Linked DNA regions of Oryctolagus cuniculus. The protein of the gene in region 3 interacts with the protein of the main gene of each other region in a biochemical or structural test. Links are inferred from orthologs where the notes say so. Each region holds a gene or a part of one and is shown on either strand. Other genes may lie near its edges.

Region 1 (3,500 bases), on a different chromosome or scaffold from region 3:
AGGGACAGCTGATAAACTCTACAAATGTATAATTTGCAGAACAGTCACAACTGCTTTGAAATAAGACATGCAGGCATGTTTTTTTTCCTGAGGAATCTGGTTTTGGTTAGCAATGCAGGCCAGGCACCAACAAAGAACCTCAAATGTCATACAAGGCTGGCTGCAGAATAAATGCAAAATCAACATCAGGTTTCTTTGCCTTCAAGAAACATCTCCTACTCAAGACATCCTTGGGCATTCACATGTCTCTGTGGACTTCAACTTCTTTATTAAAATAAAAAATTATAAGGCTGATGGAAAAGGGAAGGTACTACAGTAAAAGACTTGTACCTCCAAACACATTTACAGCTTTAAAAATACACTCTGCATTAGTTACCACAGTGGAAACAGAATATCTGACTTTGACAGAACTCTTAATATCCCTTTTTTATTTCACTGAATGCTAGCTTTTCTTTTCAATCTCAAAACTTCAATTATATTTTTTTCTTCCTCCCCTCCTCCCCCTTCCTACTCCCCTATCCAGTAACTCTGCTTTGTTAAGTAAATAGTAAAGGGGCGAGAATTTGGCCTAGTTGATTAAGAGGCTGCTTGTGATACCTGCAGCATTCCACATTGTAGTGCTTAGGTTCAACCCCTGCTCCAGCTCCTGACCCTGAGAGGCCACAGAGGAAACTCAGATCTGGAAATGAGTTACAGGCAGCTGGCTTCAGCCTGGCCCAGTGTTGGCTATGTGAGGCATTTGGGGAGTGTACCGGTGTATAGAAACATTCTATGACTATCAAGTAACCAGAAAATTATAAATAAATAAATATTAAACAGATCATTCTAAATTCTATTTTGTTTATACTTTTATATGTTAAGTATTATTTCAACCAGTTATGAGAACTCTAAAATTACCTCAAGCACATGCATAAAGTCTTTAAATATTCTTTTTCTTTCAGATTCCAGGGTTATATCCTCAAATGCTGGCTCCTTTACAAATCTCTCCCGGATCTGAAAAATTCATATATGGAATAAATAGATGAATACCAGGAATAGGATACCGATATGCCTAAAAGGAATATCAACAAGCGAAAACTATGATAATCCAAACCATTTACAGTGCAATTTTTTTTCTCTCAATAGTCTCAATCTTTAAAAGAAAAAAAAGGGGGGAGGGCAGCACTGTGGTGCAGTAGGGTTGACGCCCTGGCCTGAAGCACTGGCATCCCACATAGGTGCCAGTTCTGGTCCCGGCTGCTCCACTTCTGATCCAGCTCTGATATGGCCTGGCAAAACAGTGGAAGATGGCCCAAATCCTTGGGCCCCTGGACCCATGTGGGAGGCTCCTGGTTCCTGGCTTCGGATTGGCGCAGCTCCGGCCGTTGTGGCCAACTGAGGAGTGAACCATCAGATGGAGGACCTCATTTTCTCTCTCTCTCTCTCTCTCTCTCTGTGTGCAGCTCTGACTTTCAAATAAATAATAATAAATAAATCTTTAAGAAAAAAAAGTCTCAATCGTTTTTAACAAGTATTTCCAAGTGCAGAGCCACAGCTGACTTCAAATACTCTAAATATACTGAATATATTCAACAAACAACTTGCAATTTCATATGTGGCTGTAAAATGTGAAAGGAATTTATATTTTTATTTTTCAACTAAAAAAAATTATCAGAAAAAATATACACATATACATACATCTTCCCAGACAGCATCCAGCTCTATTGGAGGCGCAGCTTGTTTCAACATACTCTTGAAAGCAGATTCTTTACGTTTCATCTTCCGGGCCTCCTCTTTTTCTCTTTCACGTTCACGGGCTTCTGCCTTTTCTAGTAACTATCAGAAAACCATGATTAATTAATTACTGCAGCATAACTGTGACTTTCATGTGAAATAATTCATTATTCTTAATTTAGAGGTACTCACATATTATTTAAGGGCAATTTATCTCTTAACAAGAAAGGAAGCTTAGCAACAGTTTACTTTTACCCCACCAAAAGGACCACCATTCTATAAAAACCTCTGTATACTCCATTATCAAAATGCCCTTCAATTTAAATTCTTAGCTACAAAATTAAGAACTTCACTATTATACCAGTTATTTATAATTGCAAAAATTATTAACTTACACTATTGAAAGCCAACTTGATATTCCCTGCATCTAACGTAGTTGATCTTTTAGTTGAACTAATTATTGCCACAAAATCTTCAAAAGTAGTATTCACTTCAACTACAAATCCTTTATCCTAAAAATCAGAAAAATTGTTAATATATATAAAACATACATCAAAGGAACACAGTACCAGTTTTTGTAATACACTATAAGCAAACAGGTAAGAATAAATATTTACCTTTAGAATGTCTTTTATTATCTTTTTCTCATCATGATAACGTGCTTTAAGATCCTCAACATAAAACTTGAAAAGATCAAGTGCAGTTGATCCTAATGAAAAAACTAAAGAAGTCAAAAGCTAGCTCTAACCAAAGAGCTGCAATTACTTTTTTGTTTATAAATCAAAAATAAAACAAAAATTCCCAGCATAATCACATTCCCCTCTAATTCATTGTAACTACTATCAAAACTATAAATTAGCAAAGAAAGGAATCTCACCAGGCTGACCAAGCATATTGGTGAATCTAATGTCAGAACTAATAGTGGGATATAATTCCATCCAAGATGACATAGAATGCAGTTGTCCATGTTCATGCAATTCATCTAAAAATATCTGGGAAAAAAAATATCTGAATAGTCTTCTTGAAGTACATTAGAAATTAAGTTCAATGTGAGAACACATGTAAAAATGTAGATATATTATTTCCAATTATAAAAGTAAACTCAAATCTAGTTTCAGGACCCTTTCTCTTTTTTCATATTAGTTTAAATAGAAGCCATTATCTATTTGCTAATTCCAATTTCTTCTCTTTGCTCTTCTTTGGTTTCCATATTTGCTTACTTACAGGGCAACATACTAAACTTTAGCCCCCAGTAATTTTTAAACTTCCTGTTTCCCAAAATCCTTAAGAGTTTAATACTGTAAGCAAATACCTCTAAGGAAACTGACCCTAAACTCTGTTCCCATAATTCTTAGCACTGCACTGTTCAATATGGTAGCCGCTGACCTACATGAGTACATGAAATGTGGCTATTCAGAACTCTAATATAGCGTAAGTATAAAATGAAATGGTTACAAAGACTTAGCACAAACTTTTATAAAAACTCAACATGTTGAAACTTTTTGATACAATGAGTTAAATATGGTTAATTAAAAATTAAAATTGCATAAGGGATATAAATTTATTGGATAGAGCTGCCCTTCAGCAATACTGTACACCTGTGAATCCACTACTCTTGAAAAAAACAAGTGCATATAGACAACTCTGAAATTCTGTTCTCAAATTCTCTATCCTTTTGTCGTTATCTGTCAACACAAATGAGGGATGCTGACCTTGGTACTAATGATTACTAAATACCACACTTAACAGTACTGTTTCAGTACATAAAAACTTCTTAATATTTCTTA
Region 2 (4,138 bases), on a different chromosome or scaffold from region 3:
TCCCGAGAAAACCCCTCCCCAGAAGAAACTGGTGCCCACCCCCAGCCCCATGTCCCCCCACCGTCTCAGGCCCACTGCCCCGCCCCCTGCTGCTGGGCGGCGGAGGTGCAAGCTCCTGAATGGGTCCCTCACCTCCTGATGGCTGTGCCTACACAGTCGAGGACACTCTGGCCAGGCCCTGGGATTCGGGACACAGGACACAGACTCTGCGCCCAGACGTCACAGCTCCGGAAGACACAACCTCAAGTGCAGAGGACACTGGGGGGGGGGGGGCGGGGAAACAAGCAGCCGGGCGGGGGAAGGGGGTCATGGTTGAGGCTCTCAGCCCAAGCTGGGGAAGCTTCTAAAAGGAAGAGACACGTCCCTGGACTCCTGGGGGAGGAGGAGGGGGTAGAAGGGGCGGCTATGCACAGGGCATCAGAGCAGCTGGGAGCGGGGGGGGGGGTGGGAAGGGAGGGGCAGCCGCACGCTGCGGAGACCACAGGGCTACCCAAGGCGACAGGGCTGGGAAAGAGCTCTGCCTACGTCCACGTGCTTCTCAGGCCTCCTGCCCAGGCTGGAACCCTCGGGGGCAGGCTTCTCCTCTGGCCTGGGTCTGCTCCCCCATGCAACAGTGTCACTCCACTGGCTCCAGCCTCGCTATGCGCACCCCAGAGATTGCGCACAGCCTGGCTTGTGCAGGCTCCCTGACGCTGGCTTGCATTCCCCTCCTAAGGGCTGGGACAGTGGCAGAGATCCCTGGCCTGAACATGGCACCCCGAGAAGGCAGCCACCCAGTGCCTGCCGAGAGCCACGCCTCCACTTCAGGCCTCCCCCCAGCTTGGACCAGGCCTGGGCAATCCAGCCGGGGGCCCAACAAGACCCACTGGAGAGGCCAGCACTGCAGTGTAGCAGGGTAAGTCACTGCCTGTGACACCAGCATCCCAAACGGACACTGGTTCGAGTCCCAGCTGCTCCACTTCTGATTCATCTCCCTGTTTATGTGCCTGGGACAGCAGTGGAGGGTGGCCCAAGTGCTTGGGCCCCTGCACCCACGTGGGAGACCGGGGGGAAGCTCCTGGCTTCCATTCGGCCCAGCTCCAGCCATTGCGGCCATCTGGGGAGTGAACCAGCAGATGGGAGAGCTCTGTCTGTCTCTCCCTCTCTCAGTGTAACTCTGACTTTCAAATAAATGAATGTTGACTAGAGAGAGAGAGAGAGAGAGAGAGAGAGAGAGAGAGAGAGATTTAAAGAAAAAATAGCCCCACTGGAGCAACACTTCTTATCTCCAGGAGCCAAAGCAGCCCGCGTTGGCTTCTGCTTCCTGGCCTGGGAAGGGCGTCATGGAGCTGTGTCCAGCAGCTCTTGGTCCTCAGGAGTGGACAGAGAGCCCCCCTCCTCCCAGCTGCCCTCTGTTTTGCCAAGTTCATGTTCATTCAGTCAGTCAGTCCACATTTACTTGGTGCCTCCCCCTGCGCAGGGGCAGGGGCAATGACAGAGAGGGATCAGAGCACTTCTGCTCCACAGGGCAACGGACAAGACAGAAATACCCAAGCCAGAGGCACACGGGGTCCAGGAGGCTGGGGCAGGTGATGAGGAGCTCACGGGGGCATCAGAAGAGCCGTACTGGGGGGGGGGGGGGGTACTTGTGGGTGGTGACCTGCACCCGTGCTGGGAAGGCCAGGAGCGGGGACAGAACCTCCAAAATCCCTGCCACACTGCCCCCGGTTTGCACCCGGCTGTGCCAGGTGCTGGGGGCAATGCAGGCTATTTATGGTTGCACCTAGAAAAAAAGCAGCCACATGTGTCACTGCCCTGGAGGGCAGAGCTGGGCTGCGGGGGGGCAGGGAGCAGCTGGGGCTTGAAGCTGGGCCTGGCCAGTGTAGCCCCCAAACCCTAACGACGTGTTTTACCTTTTCACAGCCTGCTGCAAGGTGAAAGCAGGGAAGGGGGGGGGGCTCCAGCAGGCAGCAAGGGAGCTGAGGCTTGCGGGGAGGGCAGTGGCCCGCACCGGTGCGCCTGCCCTACCTGCCGGCCCTTGAGCATCATCTCCCTCCCACTGCCTCCTCCCTGCTCCCCTGCCCACCCCCAGCTGTGGGGGAAGGGGTGAGTGCCAGAGGAAATGCTGTAATTGTAAACCAAGCGCAGCAGCATCAGCCCTGTTTCTCCCCAGCCCACTCTGATCCACAAATAGCCGCGCACCAGGCTGGCGCAGCCCGCCCACCCCTGCCCGACACCTGGACACCGGGGCCCCACTGCACCTTCCCAAGGAACCCATTTCCTGCGCCCCCCCCAAGGTGAAGGCCTCGCCAGCTCCGTCTCCCCCAGGGACCCAGCGCAAGGGCCTCCTGGCATTGCCTGGGTGATGCCCACGAGCCGGGGCGCCTGCGAAGCTTCTCCGGCCGTGTGCCTACCGCTCTCCAGGTAACTGCCCGGTTCCCCTCAACCCCCGGCCTGGAAGAAGTCACCCTGCACCCACCAGCAACCCGCACCTGCCACCTGGGTCCCCACCCACCCCAGCCCTCTCAAGGGCCAGACCCCTACCTGGGGGCAGGAGCGCCGGGTACCATGGGCGGCGCCACGGGGCGACGCGGGGCACCTGGGCCCGGCCTCAAGCCCGGAAGGCTTCCCGGGGGAGGAGGAGGCTGGCGCGGCCGCCGCGCCGCTTCGCTCCGGGCTGTGGCGGGGCTGCGGGAAGCAGGAAGGTCAGGGGCGGGCGGAGCGCGCGGCCGAGCCGATTAGAGAGGCATTTTTAGCGAGCCAATGGCGGCGCGGCCGGGCGGCGCAGGCTGCGCAGGTGGCGGCGCCCCGGCTGCCGAGGCGGCCGCGACGGCGGAGCCCGCGCCCGGGCGGGGGAGGCGCAAGCGGGGGCGCCCAGCTCTCTCCTCCCGGGCCGCCGGGGCCGGGCAGCGGGCTCTAGGGGCGGGGGTGCGGACAGCTCCTTTCCCGCACTGCCTCCTCCTGAGCCCCCTAGCCCGCCCCATCCTTCCTCAGTCCTCCCTCTCCAGCCCCCTCCCCAAACTCCTCTCCCAGCGCGCCCCCCACCCAACCCCACTTGCCAGCTCCTATGGAGGGGGGGCTGTCTCTCCACGCCCTTCCTGACCCCCCCCCCCCCGCCACGGCTGGATATCTGTGTTTCTGCCCTCTCGTCCCTCTGACCGCATACATGCAGGGTACGTCCGAGGGGTGTGTGTGTGTGTGTGTGTGTGTGTGTGTGTGTGTGTGTGATGACTCCCTCCACCTCACCCCACCCATGGCCCACCCCCACCTCGGAAATGTTGCCTTGACCCCATGGGGCAGACTCCTCAGTCACCAAAACACACAGCCATGTCCTTGGGGCTCTCTGGGGGTCTTGGGTCCTAAAAGTCACACACGCGCGCACACGCACACACAGGGCTTCACTCTTCTGCCCTGCGCCCTTGAGTCTGGAGCCGGGGTTGGGGGGGCGCTTCCCGGGGACCAGTCCTTTAGCACAAATCTGTAAGGCGCCTACTGTGTGCCCGGCGCACCCCTGCCCTGCCTGAAGCGGAGACAGCCGTCCGTGTAAGTTGCAGGGGGCTTTATCTCAGACAGGTGCGCACAAAGCGCAGGGAAGCAAGGCAAGAACGCGGGGCCACCAGGGCGGACGGCGGGTGAGGGCTTCTGCGTGCGCATGCGTGTGAATGTGAACCGCCACCCCACTCAGGGCGTCTCCAGCTGGCCACAGACCTCCCCACTCCCTGTGGCTGCCCTGGGCTGGTCACACACAGGCGTGTATTTCCTGGTCTCTTTTTTATCACCCCCTCAGCAGAGGCACTGAAACTGGTGACCCCAGGGCCCCCCGCACGGGACCCTGTGCATACTGACTGCGTGTAGGGCATTGCAGCCCGGAGGCGTTTAGCACTCATTTGGGGTGATTGTGTGACAGCACCTACCCTAAGGCTGCACAGGACCGCCAAGTGAGTAGACGATGTCCTAGAGAAAACCAGACAGCTGTGGGTTACAGCCATGCAGGAAGACTTCCTGGAGGAGGTGACATTCAGACAGGCTACTGAGTGATAACTGAGATTATGATGAACTAGACTGGGCTGGAGGCTGAGATACACATATTTCTCTTCAAAGATTTATTTATTTATTTTTAAAGATTTATTTATTTAAAAGGCAGAGTTACAGAGAGGCA
Region 3 (2,941 bases):
ATCAGCCCATCACCACACACAGAGCTGCTCCCTGCTGAGCTGGCAGCGGCGTGGGAAAGGGGTACAAGAGGCATCGAGGCCTGACCCTCACTTGCTCTGACCAAGAGGGGCTCAGCCAGAACAGAGCTCAGTGACACCCTGGGCTGCCAGGACCCCAACATGGGGCAGTGGGCCCAACGCCAGCCAGCGAGCTCCCGGGGCCATTGGGCCAGCGTCCCTGGACACAAAGGCTATTAGCGGCAGAGAAGCGGTGCCGACCCTTATGGTGGGCAGAGGCCTTGGGAGGGGCTGAGGGCTCACGGGGCCCGGGGGGCAGTCCTGCTGCCGACACCGGGGCACCAGCTCTTCTTGCCAGGCTAACCGAATGTGACTGTGTAGCAAAGTGGGGTGTGCAGGGGAGACGCCACGAGAGGGCTGCCACAGACCCATCGCTTCCGTGGACACTGCCTCACGCAGCGCTGGCCTTGTGAGCCACACACTTTACACGGGCGTAGAAAGAGTTACATTAAAATTAATCTCTTTACTGATAGAATTGAATTTTAAATCCTGAGAAGAAAACAGAGACAGAGGATGGCGCAGGTGTGTGGCGCCCCAGCTGCTGGCCTGGCCACAGGGTCTGTGCGTCTGGTCGCTGGTGCAACAGGGGAGACGTGCTCACAAGGCCGGGTGCCGGCACTCGTGTCCTCCCTGTGGGACGGCGAGGGGCCGACGACCAGCCTGCAAGAGTGAGGACTTCCGTCCCAGGCCAAGGGAGCCGCAACCTGGCGGCAACGGCAGGTGACTGTGGGGAGAAAGACCGACCCCTGGGCACCGGCACCGGCGCTGGCAGCCCAGCTGCGCCTGCTCTCCGAGGACTCGGCTGCACCCCCACAGCGCTGTGTGTGGTCCCTGCTCAGCCACTGCTGCAAAGAGCACTCGTGCCTCTCGGCAGACGCGCACGCTGCCTGGCTGCCTCGCGGCGTGAACGGAAGCCCGGAGGGACGAGGCAGGGCACCGGGCACTGGCTTCTGCGCGGAGCCGGCCCAGCCGCTGCCTCGCGCACTCTCCCACCGGGGGCACTCAGCAGGCGGCGCCCCTGTGCACGTTTCGCAGACATGTCAGCAGCCGGTGGTATGGGCTTCCTGGCGCTGCCACCACCTCAAACACAGACTGGAAGGCCCTGCGGTCGAGCTCCTCCTCTATCTGGTGTCTGTAAAAGTCGGTGGCGACCAGGCAGAAGAGGTTCACGTCCACCTGCTCCAGCTTGCCCATCCTGCTGACGACGTGCGGGAGGCTGGCCGGGAGTTAAGGGAGCACTGCCACGGGCACGGAAGGCTGCCCCCCCCAGGAGCCCCTTCCTGACCCAGCCCCAGGAGGCGCGAGGGACAGAGCAGCAGGCAGGAAAGGGGCGGCTGGGCACACGCCCTCCTAGACCCTCTCGTGCCGGAGCCCAGCTCCCCGCCCAGGCAGCGCTGGCTGAGCAGGTGCTCGGGGCAGCACTTACCTGGCCTAGCGCCCTGCGCAGTGCTGGCTGCCGGTGCTCCCGCGAGCCCCGCTCCGACGCAGTGAGCACAGAGCCGTGGCCCTGCCTACCCGGGCCCTCCCAGGCGCGCTGGGCGAGGCTGTGCTGCCAGCACCAGCATGACCACGCTGCTCGGAGACTTGTGTCTGTCTCGGGGAAAGGCTGCCAAAAAGGGAACTCCTGGCACCAGCGTTCTGGGGGTGGGGACGGATCTTTCCTAAGCAGCCCCCTAGAGGGTGATCGAGGCACAATGACAAAGCTAATGAGAAGCAGCACTGGGAACCCAGCTGCACGGGCACAGGAGGGGAGGGGGCCCAGCGGAGACAGGGGAGGCCTGGCTGCAGAGCCAGGCGGTCCTGCTGGGCAAGCGGAGGGCACCCTGCTTTCTGTGGCCCTGCCAACGCCTTCCTCCTCGGGACAGAGGGGAACAGCACCTTGAAGCTGCGGGTTTTGCAAGTGTCAGGCTTCAAAAAGTTTAAGACAAAACACAGAAGTTGACAGAAGAAAAAGCGAAATCTGGCAGCAGGCAGAGGCCCCACCGAGAGCCCCAGCACCCAAGGAAGGATACGTTGCTGAGACCCAGGGGCTGGTGGACGCACTGACGAAAAAGCAGGAGAGGCTCCACATGGCCATGGCGACCGGGGTCCTCTGCGTGAAGTTGGACAGGGAGAGCATGACCCAGTCCCGGACCATGGACGACTGCCCGGCACTGTGCAGAGTCTGGAAGACCTGGGCAGGGGCGAGAAGCAGCGTGCAGCGCAGGGCTGGGGAGGCGTCAGTTCCTCCACCCCGCTGCTCTCTGCAGGGAGGCATCTTGCCAATGTCCTGGGACCCCGCCTCCAGCTCCCACCCACGTCTACCTCACCTTGTACACGACGGTGGCCATGAACTGCGGGTATGGCTGCTGATTGGACAGAAACTCTCCAATGACTTTGTTCATGACATCCTGGGGTGGGAAGAAGTCATCTAAAAACTGAGGCAGGATCCTTGCCACCACTCTGGCTTCACAGGGAAACCCCTTCCTGATCCTGGAAGGAGGGGACACTAGTCAGAGCCTCACTCGGCTGGCCAAGCGCACGCTGCAGAAGCGGAAACACCACACGCAGCCCTCTGCAGTCCACCCCTCCGGTGACGCGCACAAGCCTGTCCTCCTCAGGTTTTTCCCACACACTTCCCAACACGACGCAGTCCAGTGCCTGAGCTCAGCCGCCAGCCGGGAAGCCGGGCCTGCCTGCTCTTGCTGACTGCCTCTGCAGACCCCGGAGCTGCATCCTTTCTGGCAGTCCTGCCTAGCCGTGCTTGCGTGACTGCCGTGGACAACATGGAAACGGCTCCCACACACACGTGCCTGGCTCCATCTGCCCACAGACACCCAGGAGAGGATGCGCTGGACTGCGAGGGAGCCCCTGTCAAGCACCCAGTCATCTCCCCGGATCGGGG
Region 4 (3,500 bases), on a different chromosome or scaffold from region 3:
AATGCTGTTTGCTTGGGAGATTTTTGTTAGAAAAACAAAATTTTTAAAAGAATGGCGTTTAACACAAATTTGCACAGCTTCGGCAGAAATGAAAGATGCAGAGTTAAAAAAAAAATGATATCCAGCAGGATAGTAAAACAAAATCTGGCCACAGTGGCACCAGGCTGGGTGCGGTGACCTGAGACCACCTGCCCAGACACAGGGAGTGGCCTCCAGGGTCCACAGCCGGACCCGGATGGCGCTTTGTTCATTTATTTCCATTGTCATGATTACTGGTTAATACTGGGCCCGGTCAACCAATCCTGTCATTGTTTACAAAGAGACCTTTCCTTCTATGGATGGAAGCCTTGGTGCCAGTTTGCAATTTTTTAAAAAGAGCTTTATCTCCACCTAGTGGTCAGAGTTGTAAGTGCGTCTGTCTGTCAGCCTCAGTTTTATTTTAGGTGCTGGGGTAAGTGCCCAAGCCGAGAGAAACATGTAGAAAACAGGAAGACTGTTTTTCTTTTTCTGAGAATGGGCCTCACTGCACCGGCATCCATTCACTTTGGGGCCAGAATTAAACAAATATCATGGATGACCAGGAGTCATTTTCTGAAAAACCATATGTAATGTGTATTTTCCCCCCAAGGCAATGCGTTAATAGAAGTCGGCGAATCCATGAAACTCATGGCTGAGGTGAAAGATTCCCTGGACATCAACGTGAAGCAGACATTCATTGACCCGCTTCAGCTGCTGCAAGACAAAGATTTGAAGGAGATTGGGGTAAGTCTTTGTGGCTGCAGGTGCACCCTGTTGCTGCTTAGAATAATACATTTAAAATCATCGCGATGTGGAATAATATTTATGTTTAAGATCATTGCGACTTAGAATAATATTTGTGTTTAAAATCATTAGGACAGTTCTGCGGGTGCTAAGTGAAGGCATCACTTTATGGTGGGTGGTGACAAAATAACTCCGTTAGATTTCCCTGGATCCACTGGGAGCCAGCATCAGGAGGCATTAACCCCATCTACTGCAGAGGTGGGGCACTGAGGTGGGGACAGTGGGAAGACATGACCATGTTCCTTCAGCTTTAGGATTTCAGAAAAGAGAGAGAGAGAGAGAGAGAGAGAGAGAGAGAGGTCTTCCATCCCCTGGTTCACTCCCCAGATGGCCGCAATGGCCAGAACTGAGCCTATCTGAAGCCAGGAACCAGGAGCTTTTTCCAGGTCTCCCTTGTGGGTGCAGGGGTCCAAGGACTTGGGCCATCTTCCGCTGCTTTCCCTGGCAGGAGCTGGGAGCTGGATCGGAAGTGTAACTCTGAACTTCCACCTCAAAGAGGATCAAGAGTCGAGATCCCAAGATCCAGCGAGCCTGCAGTAGTCCCCGCAAGCTCTGTGCGTGCTGGAAATCAGGGGTCGGAGCCTGTTTGTTTAGCACACGGCTGGCATACTGCTGTCCAGGGAGGGCTGGAGAGGGATTTAGGGGCTTGGCCCAAGGAACAGATAGGCTGGGAGAGACGCGTCTGATCTTTAATCCCATAAGCTCTTTCTGCCTCCTGGTCTGGAAGTCAGAGCCACTTCAATGAATGGTGCCAGTCACCTGATGCTTCTGAGGGGACGGTCAGCTTCCATGGGCGCTCTAGGTACTGCCCATGTGTTTTCCAAGGTCCCAGCAGGAAACTCGTAGCGGCCCCTCCCTTGCCTTGCACAGACTGAATACAAACTGGGAGAGGAGACCCAGTATCCACAAGGCAGGCTGTCTCGTGAATGGACGACTCCACTTGTTATCACTGTTAGATTTTATTAAAGGAATTAGAATGTCGCGTAGAATCCCACCAGTTCAGAGGTTGCCTGTAGCTCCCTCGCCTCTGCAATCATGGGTAGCATTTTTTTTAATGTTCATTTTATTTATTTATAAGTCAGAATTACAGAGAGAAAGGGAGAGACAGAGAGAGAGAGAGAGAGTGAGTGAGCGCGAGAGGTCTTCCATCTGCTGGGTCACTCCCCAGAAGGCTGCATTGGTCTCCCACACCCATGCAGGGGCCCAAGTTTTGGGCTATCTTTCTCTGCTTTTCCAGACCATTAGCACAGAGCTGGCTGGGAAGTGGTGCAGCCAGGACTTGAACCAGTGCCTGTGTGGGATGCTGGTGCTGCAGACGGCAGCTTAACCTGCTGGCCCCCATTGGTAACATTTTATGCAACTTACCTTGTAATTGGGCACTTTATAGAGGATCCGTGCTTTTCCTAGGGGATACCAGAAATGTGTGCCCATGTCTCAACGAGGAGCTGATGACAGCACCAAAGGAATTGTTTTTTTTTTTTTAAACAAAAAACAAATTTCTCCCACTAAATTCTCATCTTGAAAAAAAAAGTGTTTGTGAGACAGACAGAGCTTGCTTTGCGGGCGCATTCCCCAGATGTGGTGGCTGGGGCAGGGCTGGGCTGCAGTGGGAAGCAAGTCTCCCACATGGGTTGCAGTGGCACGGCTATTGGGCCATCACCAGAGCCTCCTGGAGTCTGTATTTGCCAAGAAGCCGGGGTCAGGAGCCAGAGCCGGGCGCTGAGATGGGGCACAGGGCATCTTCACCAGGAGGCCAAGCTCCCGCCCTGCCCCTGTGTTGTGCCCAGCTAATTTGGTTAGAAGCTACCTGAACATTGCAGAATGTTGGAACCTGGTCTCTGAGCAGGGACACGGATCCTGTGCTCCGTATAGACACTCATTCATTCATTACGTCACCCATGCATCCAGCCATCCAGCCATTCATTCATTCAGTTGTGGGGTATTCCTCCACTTGCAGTGTGGGGCGTCTCCAGCAGGTGTACTGAGGTGCACACAGCAGGAAGACAGAGATGGGTCCCTGCCTTTTGGAATTTAAGCCTGGGGGAAAAATAAGGGGGGAGGGGCTACATTCCTAGAAATATAACCAAGAATGTTGGGCGCCATCTTTTGAATGTGACACTTCTCTCAGGGACTCCTCTCTCTCTCTCTCTCTCTCTCTCTCTCTCTCTCTCTCTCTCTCTTTTTTCTTCCCAGCACCACCTGAAAAAGTTGGAAGGCCGCCGCCTGGATTACGACTACAAGAAGAAGCGAGTGGGTAAGATCCCCGACGAAGAAGTCAGACAAGCGGTAGAAAAGTTTGAAGAGTCCAAGGAGCTGGCCGAACGGAGCATGTTCAATTTCCTAGAGAATGACGTAAGTATTGAAACGGACAGGCGGGCTTCATGCAGATAGACAGCAGAGGCCCCTGTGCATCTGGGCTCAGCGTGTTGAGGCACCCCAAGGCCAGGGCTGTTAGGAAAGCCCCCCGAGTTTTTCCGGGACCCTTGTCTCCTGCTAAAGAGGTGGCTTCAGACACCCAGTGAGCTCCAGCTCAGAGCCGCAATCTTGGGAAGACCACCGTTTGGGTCAGGCTTGTTCCATGGATGGGCTGGAGTCGCTGCCCCCGCCAGTGGGGGGCAGGGGAGGCTGCAGGATGGGCAGCCAGAGGCCCCAGCCCTGTGGCTTTGCAGGACGAGGGG
Region 5 (3,182 bases), on a different chromosome or scaffold from region 3:
AGCGTGTCTCAAACGCTAACCCGCACGTGAACTCCCTGGGGACCATGCGAGCCTGCAGGGGCTGGTGCTATGTAGTCTGGGGTGGGACCTGAGGCTCCACTGCTGCCCAGATCATCTTCCAAACAAACTCCTTGTTCTCGAGCCCCATTCCAGGCCTGTCCCTGGGGGCCCTGAGCCCGGGCACTGGGTAACTCTCACTCCCACTCTAACCTTCACAGCCAGGGCCAAAAGGACCAGGGAGGGGAGCCTGCCTGAGCACAGGCTCCAAGGACTTGGGTTCAAACCCAGCTCTCCAGGGTCACTTGGCCTGCCTGGGCCTCAGTTTCCCCTCTGACACCGCTCATTATCCCCCAGGGGGTGTTGATGTGATTCCACGGTGCATTTAATAAAAGTCAGAGTCCATCTTCTTTAACGTTGTTCCGCAAAGTGTACACACGCACACCCCTGCACCCACACACAGGCACACATGCTCCCTGAGAGAGAAGGCTGGAGGCTGGACCAGCAGTACACAAATCCTTTATTTCCTGCGCAGACACCTACACGGACAAGCAGCAGGGCACTAAGAAGCGCAGTGGGGGTCCTGAGGCCCGGAGCCCAGCTGTGTATGAGCGAAGGGATACAAAAGGAAGAACACCCAGAACTAGGGAACAAGGGCCCCCCAGGGAGGAGCGTGGGAGCCTGGACACTCGCAGGCCACAGGCTAGTGGCCGGGGCAAGGCAGACATACCACTGGGCAGAGGGACCCCTCCCCCACCCCACACAGAGCCACTTCTGAGTACAAACACCAAAGGGGACTGAGCAGGAAAGACAGGACTGGGGAGAGGGCCAGGTCCCCAGGAGGTGACCCCCAACAACTCCCGACCCTTGGGATCACCCCCCACCCCTCCTCAGAGCTGGGTCTGGTAGCCGGCAGGCCTCCCCCGGGGCTTCTTCCGCGCCTGGCGCCACCACGTGACCCAGGCCCAGCAGCCACAGCTCCTGCACCAGCTGCAGAGCGAAGCCCCGGGCTCCTTCAGCCTGGCCGGGAAGAGGCTCGAGGCTTGGACCCTCACGCTCTGGCCCAGGCTTGTCAGGACAGAGGGTGGGCTGCTGACATGCACCGGGTCACGTTTTGGAGAGGGGAGAGGGAGGGCTGGGGTGGGGAGGGCTTGGCCAGGCAGCAGAAGGAGGGGCCTCATGTCTGTGGGGCCTCTGCAGGCTGCTGGGAAAAAGCAAAGCCTGGAAGAAAAAGGGGTAGACGTGAAGGCCTGGCCCAGGTGGCTCTGCACCGGGAGGCGGACAGCCATCACAGATCCACAGGCCAGAGCCCACTGCCCAGCCACGGGCGTCCGGTTCAGCTTACAACCTGCACAACCTCACCCGGAGGCCCTGCTGAGGCCAGCGCTATTCCAAACCCAGCGGTGACCAAAGCACCATCAGAGCCGAGGCAGGCCACATCACAGGGAGGTTGCCAACAAGTTATAAACCCACGGCTGCCCACAGGCCAGCAGCAGAGGGGATGTACGGCACAGCACGGCAGGGTGTGAAGACATCTCAGCTGGACCTGGATCGAGTCACTTCAGCTCTCTGATCATCTCAGGGGACACCACCACCTACCTACAGGGCCGTGAGGGTGACAGGGGCTAACACCCGGGAAAATGGTCCGTCTGCAGCGCTGTCACCGGGTCACTGCAGAGGCAGGGCTCACCAGGCCTACGCCCGGCAGGTGCAGCCGCCTCAAACTTTGGGGCTTCCAGCTGGGGAGAGGAGACCCTGACCCGCCTCCCGCCACCCTGCAGCTGACCCTTGCCCACCTTCAGACTCACCCAGGGGACTGGTGCGACTGTGGCCCTTGCTGGCGGGGGCCTCGGTGCCAGCGGCCTAGGTGGCCCCCGAAGGCCCATCTTCCTCCCCGGCCCCGGGAGGGTGGCTGGCCCTGTCCTCCTCCAGCCTCCGAGAGTCCTGGGTCGGCACCCCGGGCCGCTGCTCCACGCTCCCGCCCCCCATGTTTGTTTTGGCCTGCTGCTGCCACTGCTGCAGGGTTGGGGAGCCTTGGGGACAGGGGAGGTGGGGGTGAAGGGTGGGGGGAGGGGGCAGGCAGAGACAGGAAGCTGAGGTGCAGTGAGGGAGACAGTCCCGGCCCTGACCCCAGCCCAGGAGCCAAGTGGGTGGACAGCTAGACTCCTAAGCAAATTCCACATAAAGGAGTGCTGGGTCCCAAGGACACCCGGGAAGGGGGCTTGAGGTGCCTATGCAAATGATATGCAAAGTCCATGCAAATAAGCACGCTGGGCAGGGCCGGGCTGGGGCAGGTGAGCACTTTCATCGGCTTGAAGACCTGCAGCTTGTCCGGCTGGCCGGAGGGAGGCCCCCGCGGGAGCACTCACCTTTGGGAGGCACCTTCGGCTTCTGCTGCCGCCTGCAGTGGGCGTCCTGCCAGTTGGCCAATTGCTGGAGGACATACTTCATGTCCAGGTGCGAAGGGCCCAGGCCGCTGGCCTCCAGGGCTGACGTGACCACGTTCATCCGCGTGGCCTCATCCAGCTCTGGCTCCACCTCCTCCCAGGCCTCCGTGTCCTCGGACAGCAGCTCCGCCTCCTCAGTCGCCCCTTCCTCGGCTGGCACCGCCTCCTCCGCAGCCCCCAGCTCCTCCTCGGGGATCAGCTCCTCGATGGGCTTGAAATCCACAGGCACAGCCTCCTCCGCCTGCGCAGAGCCCTCCTCCTCCTCCTCCTCCTCCTCTTCCTCCTCTTCCTCCTCTTCCTCTTCCTCCTCCTCGGCCCTGTAGCCCTGTGCCTGCGCTCGCTCCTCCCTGGAACACAGGTCCAGTCAGGGTAGGGAGACAGCCAGGTTCTTCCAGATTGCAGCAAGCCAACTCCTGCTGCAGCTCGCCGCGGGCATGCACACATGTGCACACACACATGTGCACGCACACACACACACACACACTCCTCTGGGACACCTGCTGTTGGGGCTGTGGAGGAAGGTCCCACCACAAGCCCGCCCCCTCCCAGCCTCTCCAAGGGCAACCCTGCCCCACCCAGCCCTCACCCAGATGCCTGTGGTTCCTTCCTAGGTCTGCCCCAGCCAGGGGAAAGAGGAGCTGGGTACCAGCTTCAAACACACAGCCCCCAACACAGCCCAGCCTTCTCCCTCCCTCACTTCACCCCACCGAAGAGCCCAGCAGGACCAACCGTCCCTCC
Region 6 (3,500 bases), on a different chromosome or scaffold from region 3:
AGAGAGGGAGGGAGGGAGGGGGAGAGAGAGAGAGAGAGAGAGAGAGAGAGAGATCTTCCATCCAATGGTTCACTCCCCAGATGGCCGTAACAGCCAGGGTTGGGCCAGCCCAAAGCCAGGAGCCTAGGGATTTGGGCCATCTTCCACCACTTTCCCAGGCACATTAGCAGGGAGCTAGACTGGAAGTGGAACAGGATGGTCTCCAACTGATGCCCACATGGAATACTGGTTTAGGAGACCCAGACTTAAATTGTTCCACCACAGCACTGGCCCCTCCTTCCTTCTTTTTTTAAATTTATTTTTAAAGATTCATTTATTTGAAAGGCAGAGATACAGGCTGGTGCCGCGGCTCACTAGGCTAATCCTCCGCCTTGCAGCGCCAGCACACCAGGTTCTAGTCCCGGTCGGGGTGCCGGATTCTTTCCTGGTTACCCCTCTTCCAGGCCAGCTCTCTGCTGTGGCCCGAGAAGGCAGTGGAGGATGGCCCAAGTGCTTGGGCCCTGCACCCCACGGGAGACCAGGAGAAGCACCTGGCTCCTGCCTTCGGATCAGTGCGGTGGGCCGGCCGCAGCGCATCAGCCGTGGCGGCCATTGGAGGGTGAACCAACGGCAAAAAGGAAGACCTTTCTCTCTGTCTCTCTCTCTCACTATCCACTCTGCCTGTCAAAAAAAAAAAAAAAAAAAAGAAAAGAAAAGAAAAGAAAAGAAAGGAAGGAAGGAAGGCAGGCAGGCAGGCAGGCAGAGATACATAGAGAGAAGGACTTGGGTCATCTTCCACTGCTTTCCCAGGTGCATCAGCAGTGAGCTGGGTTGGAAGTAGAACAGCTGGAATTCGAACCGGTGCACATTTGAGATGCCAACACTGCAGGCAGAGGCTTAACTTTCTATGCCACAGCACTGGCCTCTCCTTCCTTCTGAAGTTTTCCAGATTAACTCCAATTCTATTTGTGACCCAAATACATATTTCAGTTTCAAAAACGTAAGTTGCTCAGAAAGTGGAGCTGCTTCATACGCACATTTTGTACCTTTCCATTCTGGTCTATTACTGCTCTTGCTTACCTGTGTGTGTGCGTTTGTGCCTCTGGAGCTCATCCGAACGTGTGAAGCGTTTCCCACAGTAGGACCAGGTACACATGAATGGCCTCTCGCCTGTATGCCAGCGCAAGTGTGCCCGTAGGTGTGAAGTCTTGCCATATACTTTGCCACAGCCTTGAATGTGGCAAATATGCTGTTTTTTCTTGCCAGGATCTCCAGAGGCCCTGCAAGAACACAACCTGATTTACACTTTCTAGAGAGAAAAGTATCAACCGCAACTACCCAACCCACCCGAAATTAACCCGAAACGAACTTTCATTTTTGAAAAAACGTTTCTGGGAGCCAGCATCCCACTTCAGATCACATATCAGCTGCTCTGCTTCTGATCCAGCTCCCTGCTAGTGCACCTAGCCACCATGTGGGATGGAGTTCCTGGCTCCTGAATTTGGCCTGGCCCAGACCTGGCTGTTGCAGCCATTTCGGGAGTGAACCACAGAAATGAAAATCTCTCCTTACTATCTGTGCAACTCTGCCTTTCCAATACATACGTACATTGTAAAACAAGAGAGATAAATATCCAGCTAGTTTTGGCTCCAAATTCCCAAAATTCAAATTGTAGGTTTGCCCTTTACTGGGTATTTGTTCATTCCTGCTTTTCTATTCTTTAATCAATTTAACCAAAGTTATTTCTTGTTGTTTCAAGAGATAACCATGCTCAACGTGCTTGTGAAGTTTAGGTAGTATTTTTTTGGCAGTTTACAGAGAGGCAGATAGAGACAAATAAAATCAGACAGAGTCTCCATCCTCTGGCTTACTGCACAAATGCCTTCAAAGGCTGGGAGCGAAGTTGGGAGCTAGGAGCTTAAGCTAGGTCTTGCACAGCAGGAGGCCCAATTATTTGAGCCATCACTGCTACCTCCCAATGTCTGCATCAGCAGGAAGCTAAAGTCAGGAGCCCAATCTGGGTACTCCAAGGTGGGATGCAGGGATTTTTTTTTTTTTTTAAATTTATTTATTTATTTACTTGAAAGTCAGAGTTACACAGGGAGAGAAGGAGAGGCAGAGAGAGAGAGCGGTCTTCCATCCGCTGGTTCACTTCCCAAATGGCCACCAACAGCCGGAGCTGGGCCGATCCGAAGCCAGGAGCCAGGAGCTTCCTCCAGGTCTCTCACACGGGTGCAGGGACTCAAGGACTTAGGTGATCTTCTGTTTCCCCAGGCCATAGCAGAGAGCTGGATCGGAAGTGCAGCAGCTGGGACATGAACCAGCGTCCATATGGGATGCCAGCACTGCAGGTGGCAGCTTTACCTGCTATGCCACAACGCTGGCCCCTGGTGCAGGCATCTTAACCAGTATCATAACTACTAGGCTAAACACCCATCCTATTTTCAGAAAGTATTGTTTCCTTAAAAATAAAATCCATGGGGCCAGCGCTGTGGCAAGCCAGGGGAAGCCACCACCTTCGGTGCCAGCATCCCATGTCGGCGCTGGTTCAGGTCCGGCTGCTCCATTTCTGATCCAGCTCTCTGCTATGGCCTGGGAGAGCACTAGTGGATGGCCCAGGTCCTTGTGCCCCTGAACCCACAAAGGAGATCTAAAAGAAGCTCCTGGCTTCAGACTGGCCCAGCTCCAGCCATTGCGGCCATTTGAGTGAACCAGTGGATGGAAGACCTCTTCCTCTCTTTTTCTCTCACCTCTGTCTCTGCCTCTCTGTAACTCTCCCTTTCAAATAAATAAATAAATCTTAAAAAAACAAAATCCATTTAAGTGCCAGCTCAAGCTCCAGCTGTTCCACTTCTGATCCAGCTCCCTGGTAAAGTGCCTGGGAAAGCAGTGGAAGAGGGGCCAAGTTCTTGGGAGCTTGTACCCATGAGGGAGACCTGGATGAAGCTCCTGACTCCTGGCTTTAACCCATTCCATCCTGGCTATTGTGGCCATTTGGGAAGTGAACCAGTGGATGGAAGTTCTCTCTCTGTTTTTCTTCTCTCTGTAATTCTGCCTTTCAAATAAATAATATTTTATAAAAAATATTTTATTTATTTATTTGAGAGGTAGAGTTACAGACAGCGAGAGGGAGAGACAGAGAAAGGTCTTCCTTCCGTTATTTCACTCCCTAAATGGTCGCAATGGCTGGAGTTGTGCCGATCTGCAGCCAGGAGCCAGGTGCCTCTTCCAGGTCTACCATGTGGATACAGGGGCCCAAGGACTTGGGCCATCTTCCACTGCTTTCCCAGGCCATAGCAGAGAGCTGGACTGGAAGAGGAGCAGCAGGGACTAGAACCGGCGCCCATATGGGATGCTCATGTCAGATGGCACCTTTTCCCTTTATTCCATAACACTGACCCAAAATTTTTTCTTTAAATGTATGAAGGTGAAGTTTTGGTTGTCATTTTTTATTTTATTTTTAAACATTTATTTATTTGAACAGTGAAGTTAGAAAGAGAGAGGGATCTTTCATCCATTGG
Region 7 (3,500 bases), on a different chromosome or scaffold from region 3:
GAGGGGCAGATGCTCGTTCTGGAATGGGAGCCAAACCAGGTGTCCTGGTTCCATCGCTCCTTGAATGTCTGTCGGGGCTGCTAATCAGGTGCTGGCGTGGCTGGGACCCTCGCGTGGGGAGCTGGGGACGGGGGCTCTTTGGCAACAGACCAGATGCCTTTAGTGGAGAATGGCGTGGGAGCCCGGGGAGGCACGCTTTGTGTGTGAGACCCCACCACCTTGACTGTCGAGGCCAGCTGCACTGTGCAGATGGTCCCCAGGCTCCGGGGGTTGAGCCACGGGGTCCTACCTTGGATGCAGCCACCAGCTGGGCTGTGCTAGCAGCAATTTCGCGTGAACACACCATGAGCTCCTCGAATTTCCCTCTGCCTTGCACCACCAGGTCAGCTGCGTCCCTGACAGGAAAGAATGTGACAAGGGCCAGGTCAGAGGCAGCTCAGGACCCAACCCCTGCAGCCCCTCCCGTTGGCCCTGTCTAGACTAGAAGGGGACAATGCCAGCCCCGTCCTTGTCAACTCCAGCTTCCCTGTGAAGCCTTCAGTCTTTACCAACAACAGTTCCCTTCCAGGGGACTATGGGTCAAGGGAGCGGGACCGAGGGAGGGGACCGGGCGCTGTAGCCACTTACACCATGACGGTGGCTCCCCAGCCCACCGCTTTGGAGGCTGAGATGAGCCCTTCTGTCCAGCGAGAGTTCTTGGCATAAAATTCCTTAGGGGACGCAGTGCCCTGAGAGGGGAAAGGAAAGAAGGGGTCACCTTTTACCGAGCGCCTGCTCTGGGTCTACCACTTCGGTTGACGGGTCCTGGGTGGTCCTGGCTGGTCCTGGCAGTAACTCAGGGAGGGAACCAGTGGTCCCGTCCCATTGCTCAGGGGAGAAAACCAAGACCCAGAGAGGCGACTGTGCTCCCCCCCGGGGGGCACTGCACACTGTCAGTCCTGGGCATGTCTACTCTACCTCAATCTTCCTACCATAAGTCCCCTACTTCTGTGGACTCAACAAAACACTGCTCAGAATTAGTTGGCGGGGGTGGGAATATTTTTTTCCTCTTGTCAGTAATCCCTAAACCATACAGTAGGAGCAGCTGCTTCCATAGCACTGACACTGTATTTGGCCTAAGTCATGTAGAGAGGATTTGAAGTTTACGGGAGGGGACTGGTAATGTTAGGCAGCAAACTAAGCCTCCGCTTACAATGCTGACATCCAGCATTGGGGCACTGGTTCAAGTCCCGGCTGCTCCACTTCCAATCCAGTTCCCTGCTAATGGGCCTGGGAAAGCAGTGGAGGATGGCCGGAGTACCTGGGCCCCTGCCACCCACATGGGAGACCCGGATGGAGATCCTGGCTCCTGGATTCAGCCTGGCCCAGTCCTGGCCACTGTAGCCATTTTGGGGGAGTGAATCAGTGGATGGAAGATCTCTTTCTCCCCTTCAAATAAATGAATAAATCATAAAAACAAAAGTTATGAAAGGGAGCGTGCAGATTATGTACAAATATGATGCCATTTTATATAAGCAACTTGGCATTTCTATGGGGCGGGGGGTGGCGGGGAAGGTGTCCTGGCACTAATCCACAGTGGGTTTCAAGAGGAACCGAGATATCAGAACTCACATACTCAGCGATGAGTCAGTTATGATCTGGGGCGAGTCTAGCTGCTTTCCACCATTTCCCAAAAGATGGGAGGACGCGATGAATAATTTACAAAGCATTATGTCTACTTGAAGTTCCAGAACATTCTCAGGCTTTGTTAGTGTCTGCCAGTGTGCCAGGCCCAGATGGATCAGGGGGCACCCCCAAAGCAGAAACAGCTGCTGGCTCCCTCCCTGGGCCCCTTCCTAGAGGGAGAGACAAACTGGGCCAGGCAGGGACCAACAGCCCAGCGACGGCAGAGCTGGTTGTGAGAGACAGCAGGGAGCGGACTCGGATGGAAGCAGACATGGCCAGACTCCCGGGAAATGTCGGTCCCAGGCATGCGTGTCCATCTGCCCAGGTTCCAGAAGCCCTTGTTCCTCTCAGAGGGCCTGGAAGTGCCGTGTAAGGAGGGTTCCCAGGGCCGGTGTTGTGACGCAGCAAGTTAAGCAACCACCTGCCAAGCTGGCATCTTATGTGGGCACTAGTTCAAGTCCTGGCTGCTCCACTTCCGATCTGGCTCCCTGCTGACGCGCCTGGGAAGGCAGCGGGGACATGGTACAGAGTGCTTTGGCCCCTGTGGGAGTCCTGGATGGAGTACCAGACTCCTGATTTTGTCCCGGCTCAGTCCTGGCCATCGTGGCCATTTTGGGGGGTGAACCAGTGGATGGAAGATCTGTCTCTCTCTCTCTCTCACTCTGTAATTCTGCCTTTCAAATAAATAAATGTCTTTTTTAAAAAACAAAACAAAACAAAACAAAAAAAGAGGTTTCCCCGGTTGGGTCACAGCGGCGACTCACCAACCCAGACCACCCGACCCCCAGGCTGATGACCGATCACGAGAAGGGGTGGCTCGCCCACGGGGGGTTCACAGGACCAGACATCAGTGCCGCTAGACCCCAGGGATCATGGAGTCAGACCTGCGCTCCCCACCTGCGGGCCCAGCCTGCATGCCTACCCGGCCGCTCTCTACGATCTCCCTCTGGAGGTCCTTGGAGGCCACAATCAGGACCTGAATGGCTTGCATCAGGCCGGTACAGGAGCCGAGGATCCTGGGAGAAGCAAAGCAGATAGTCAGGGCCGCGGGCACGTGGGAGCCCCAAGGACAGCAAGGCAGGCGAAGCGACCTCACTGTCACCGTCAATGCTGTCGCCCCCGGGGCAGCTCAGTTCCCTCTGACCCCTGAACGGGTTTGCAGAGCACAGCCCCCGGCCAGCGAGACTCATCCTGCCCACACGGGTGCCACCGCCGCTCAGACCAACCTCTCGTTCACCTCCAGCTTCACGCCTGTGTCTCCTGCACGGGATTTGCTCAGCATTTCCTGTTTTAAAAAAAAAGCACAGTTTTCCAAACGCACCTCCAGGACCGAGAAGCCGGTTCTACTGTACCTCCCTGCGGAAGCTGGGGAACCTGAACTGGGGAGTCCCCAGGCAGGGAAGGGCTCTGGCCCCATCTCTGTGCAGGTGCAATGGGCAGTGACAGCAGGTGGAGCAGGCTGTGCGCCCTTTCCACACCCTGTCCACCTGGCACCTGGGCTTGTGTGCACGGAACCCTGGCAGCCACAGGCCCGGGGGGTGCCAGAGGCAGGTGCTCACACCTCGGGGGGTGGTCTGGGCCCCTCCAGCGAGGGAGCAACCTGGGACCTTCCCCAAGGCGCCCGCTAAGCTTTCCGTGAATGAACCTCCCATGAGGGGGTGCCACCAATTTCCGGAGTGCCTGGCACCCAGAGGGAGATGGGCACTGTCTCATGTCACCCGTGCAGCAGGCCCCTGGAGTGGGTATGACGACTGCTGCCATTGTGGAAATGGTACAGGGATCCTACAGCAGCCGGAAGGCTTGGAAGGGGTCCGTCTGGAAGTCGACCCCCGGAT

The links.
Region 1: the proteins of HTT (region 3) and PRPF40A form a complex in vitro, tested with the Homo sapiens proteins (2 studies listed by BioGRID and IntAct, with this or other methods). The link is inferred for Oryctolagus cuniculus from reciprocal best matches to the Homo sapiens genes HTT and PRPF40A.
Region 2: the proteins of HTT (region 3) and PACSIN1 form a complex in vitro, tested with the Homo sapiens proteins (2 studies listed by BioGRID and IntAct). The link is inferred for Oryctolagus cuniculus from reciprocal best matches to the Homo sapiens genes HTT and PACSIN1.
Region 4: the proteins of HTT (region 3) and SH3GL3 form a complex in vitro, tested with the Homo sapiens proteins (2 studies listed by BioGRID and IntAct, with this or other methods). The link is inferred for Oryctolagus cuniculus from reciprocal best matches to the Homo sapiens genes HTT and SH3GL3.
Region 5: the proteins of HTT (region 3) and HAP1 form a complex in vitro, tested with the Homo sapiens proteins (4 studies listed by BioGRID). The link is inferred for Oryctolagus cuniculus from reciprocal best matches to the Homo sapiens genes HTT and HAP1.
Region 6: the proteins of HTT (region 3) and SP1 form a complex in vitro, tested with the Homo sapiens proteins (2 studies listed by BioGRID). The link is inferred for Oryctolagus cuniculus from reciprocal best matches to the Homo sapiens genes HTT and SP1.
Region 7: the proteins of HTT (region 3) and HIP1 form a complex in vitro, tested with the Homo sapiens proteins (2 studies listed by BioGRID). The link is inferred for Oryctolagus cuniculus from reciprocal best matches to the Homo sapiens genes HTT and HIP1.

The regions. Positions count from the first base shown.
Region 1 is NC_091434.1:89,214,294-89,217,793, reverse strand, and holds part of PRPF40A (pre-mRNA-processing factor 40 homolog A), read right to left. Parts: intron 2,706-3,500; coding exon 2,591-2,705; intron 2,435-2,590; coding exon 2,331-2,434; intron 2,226-2,330; coding exon 2,109-2,225; intron 1,816-2,108; coding exon 1,678-1,815; intron 994-1,677; coding exon 898-993; intron 1-897.
Region 2 is NC_091436.1:134,918,869-134,923,006, forward strand, and holds the start of PACSIN1 (protein kinase C and casein kinase substrate in neurons protein 1), read right to left. Parts: upstream 2,801-4,138; 5' UTR 2,524-2,800; intron 1-2,523. UniProt on the Homo sapiens protein: Plays a role in the reorganization of the microtubule cytoskeleton via its interaction with MAPT; this decreases microtubule stability and inhibits MAPT-induced microtubule polymerization.
Region 3 is NC_091433.1:1,893,590-1,896,530, reverse strand, and holds the end of HTT (huntingtin), read right to left. Parts: intron 2,530-2,941; coding exon 2,367-2,529; intron 2,231-2,366; coding exon 2,070-2,230; intron 1,274-2,069; coding exon 1,060-1,273; 3' UTR 501-1,059; downstream 1-500.
Region 4 is NC_091443.1:102,396,675-102,400,174, forward strand, and holds part of SH3GL3 (endophilin-A3), read left to right. Parts: intron 1-628; coding exon 629-762; intron 763-3,015; coding exon 3,016-3,174; intron 3,175-3,500. UniProt on the Homo sapiens protein: Implicated in endocytosis. May recruit other proteins to membranes with high curvature.
Region 5 is NC_091448.1:20,968,218-20,971,399, reverse strand, and holds the end of HAP1 (huntingtin-associated protein 1), read right to left. Parts: intron 2,792-3,182; coding exon 2,367-2,791; intron 2,031-2,366; coding exon of another isoform or gene 2,014-2,030; coding exon 1,806-2,013; exon of another isoform or gene 1,219-1,805; coding exon 888-1,218; 3' UTR 501-887; downstream 1-500. UniProt on the Homo sapiens protein: Originally identified as neuronal protein that specifically associates with HTT/huntingtin and the binding is enhanced by an expanded polyglutamine repeat within HTT possibly affecting HAP1 interaction properties.
Region 6 is NC_091442.1:56,402,466-56,405,965, reverse strand, and holds part of SP1 (transcription factor Sp1), read right to left. Parts: intron 1,260-3,500; coding exon 1,060-1,259; intron 1-1,059. UniProt on the Homo sapiens protein: Transcription factor that can activate or repress transcription in response to physiological and pathological stimuli.
Region 7 is NC_091450.1:50,706,829-50,710,328, forward strand, and holds part of HIP1 (huntingtin-interacting protein 1), read right to left. Parts: intron 2,951-3,500; coding exon 2,892-2,950; intron 2,682-2,891; coding exon 2,588-2,681; intron 729-2,587; coding exon 628-728; intron 396-627; coding exon 290-395; intron 1-289. UniProt on the Homo sapiens protein: Plays a role in clathrin-mediated endocytosis and trafficking. Involved in regulating AMPA receptor trafficking in the central nervous system in an NMDA-dependent manner. Regulates presynaptic nerve terminal activity.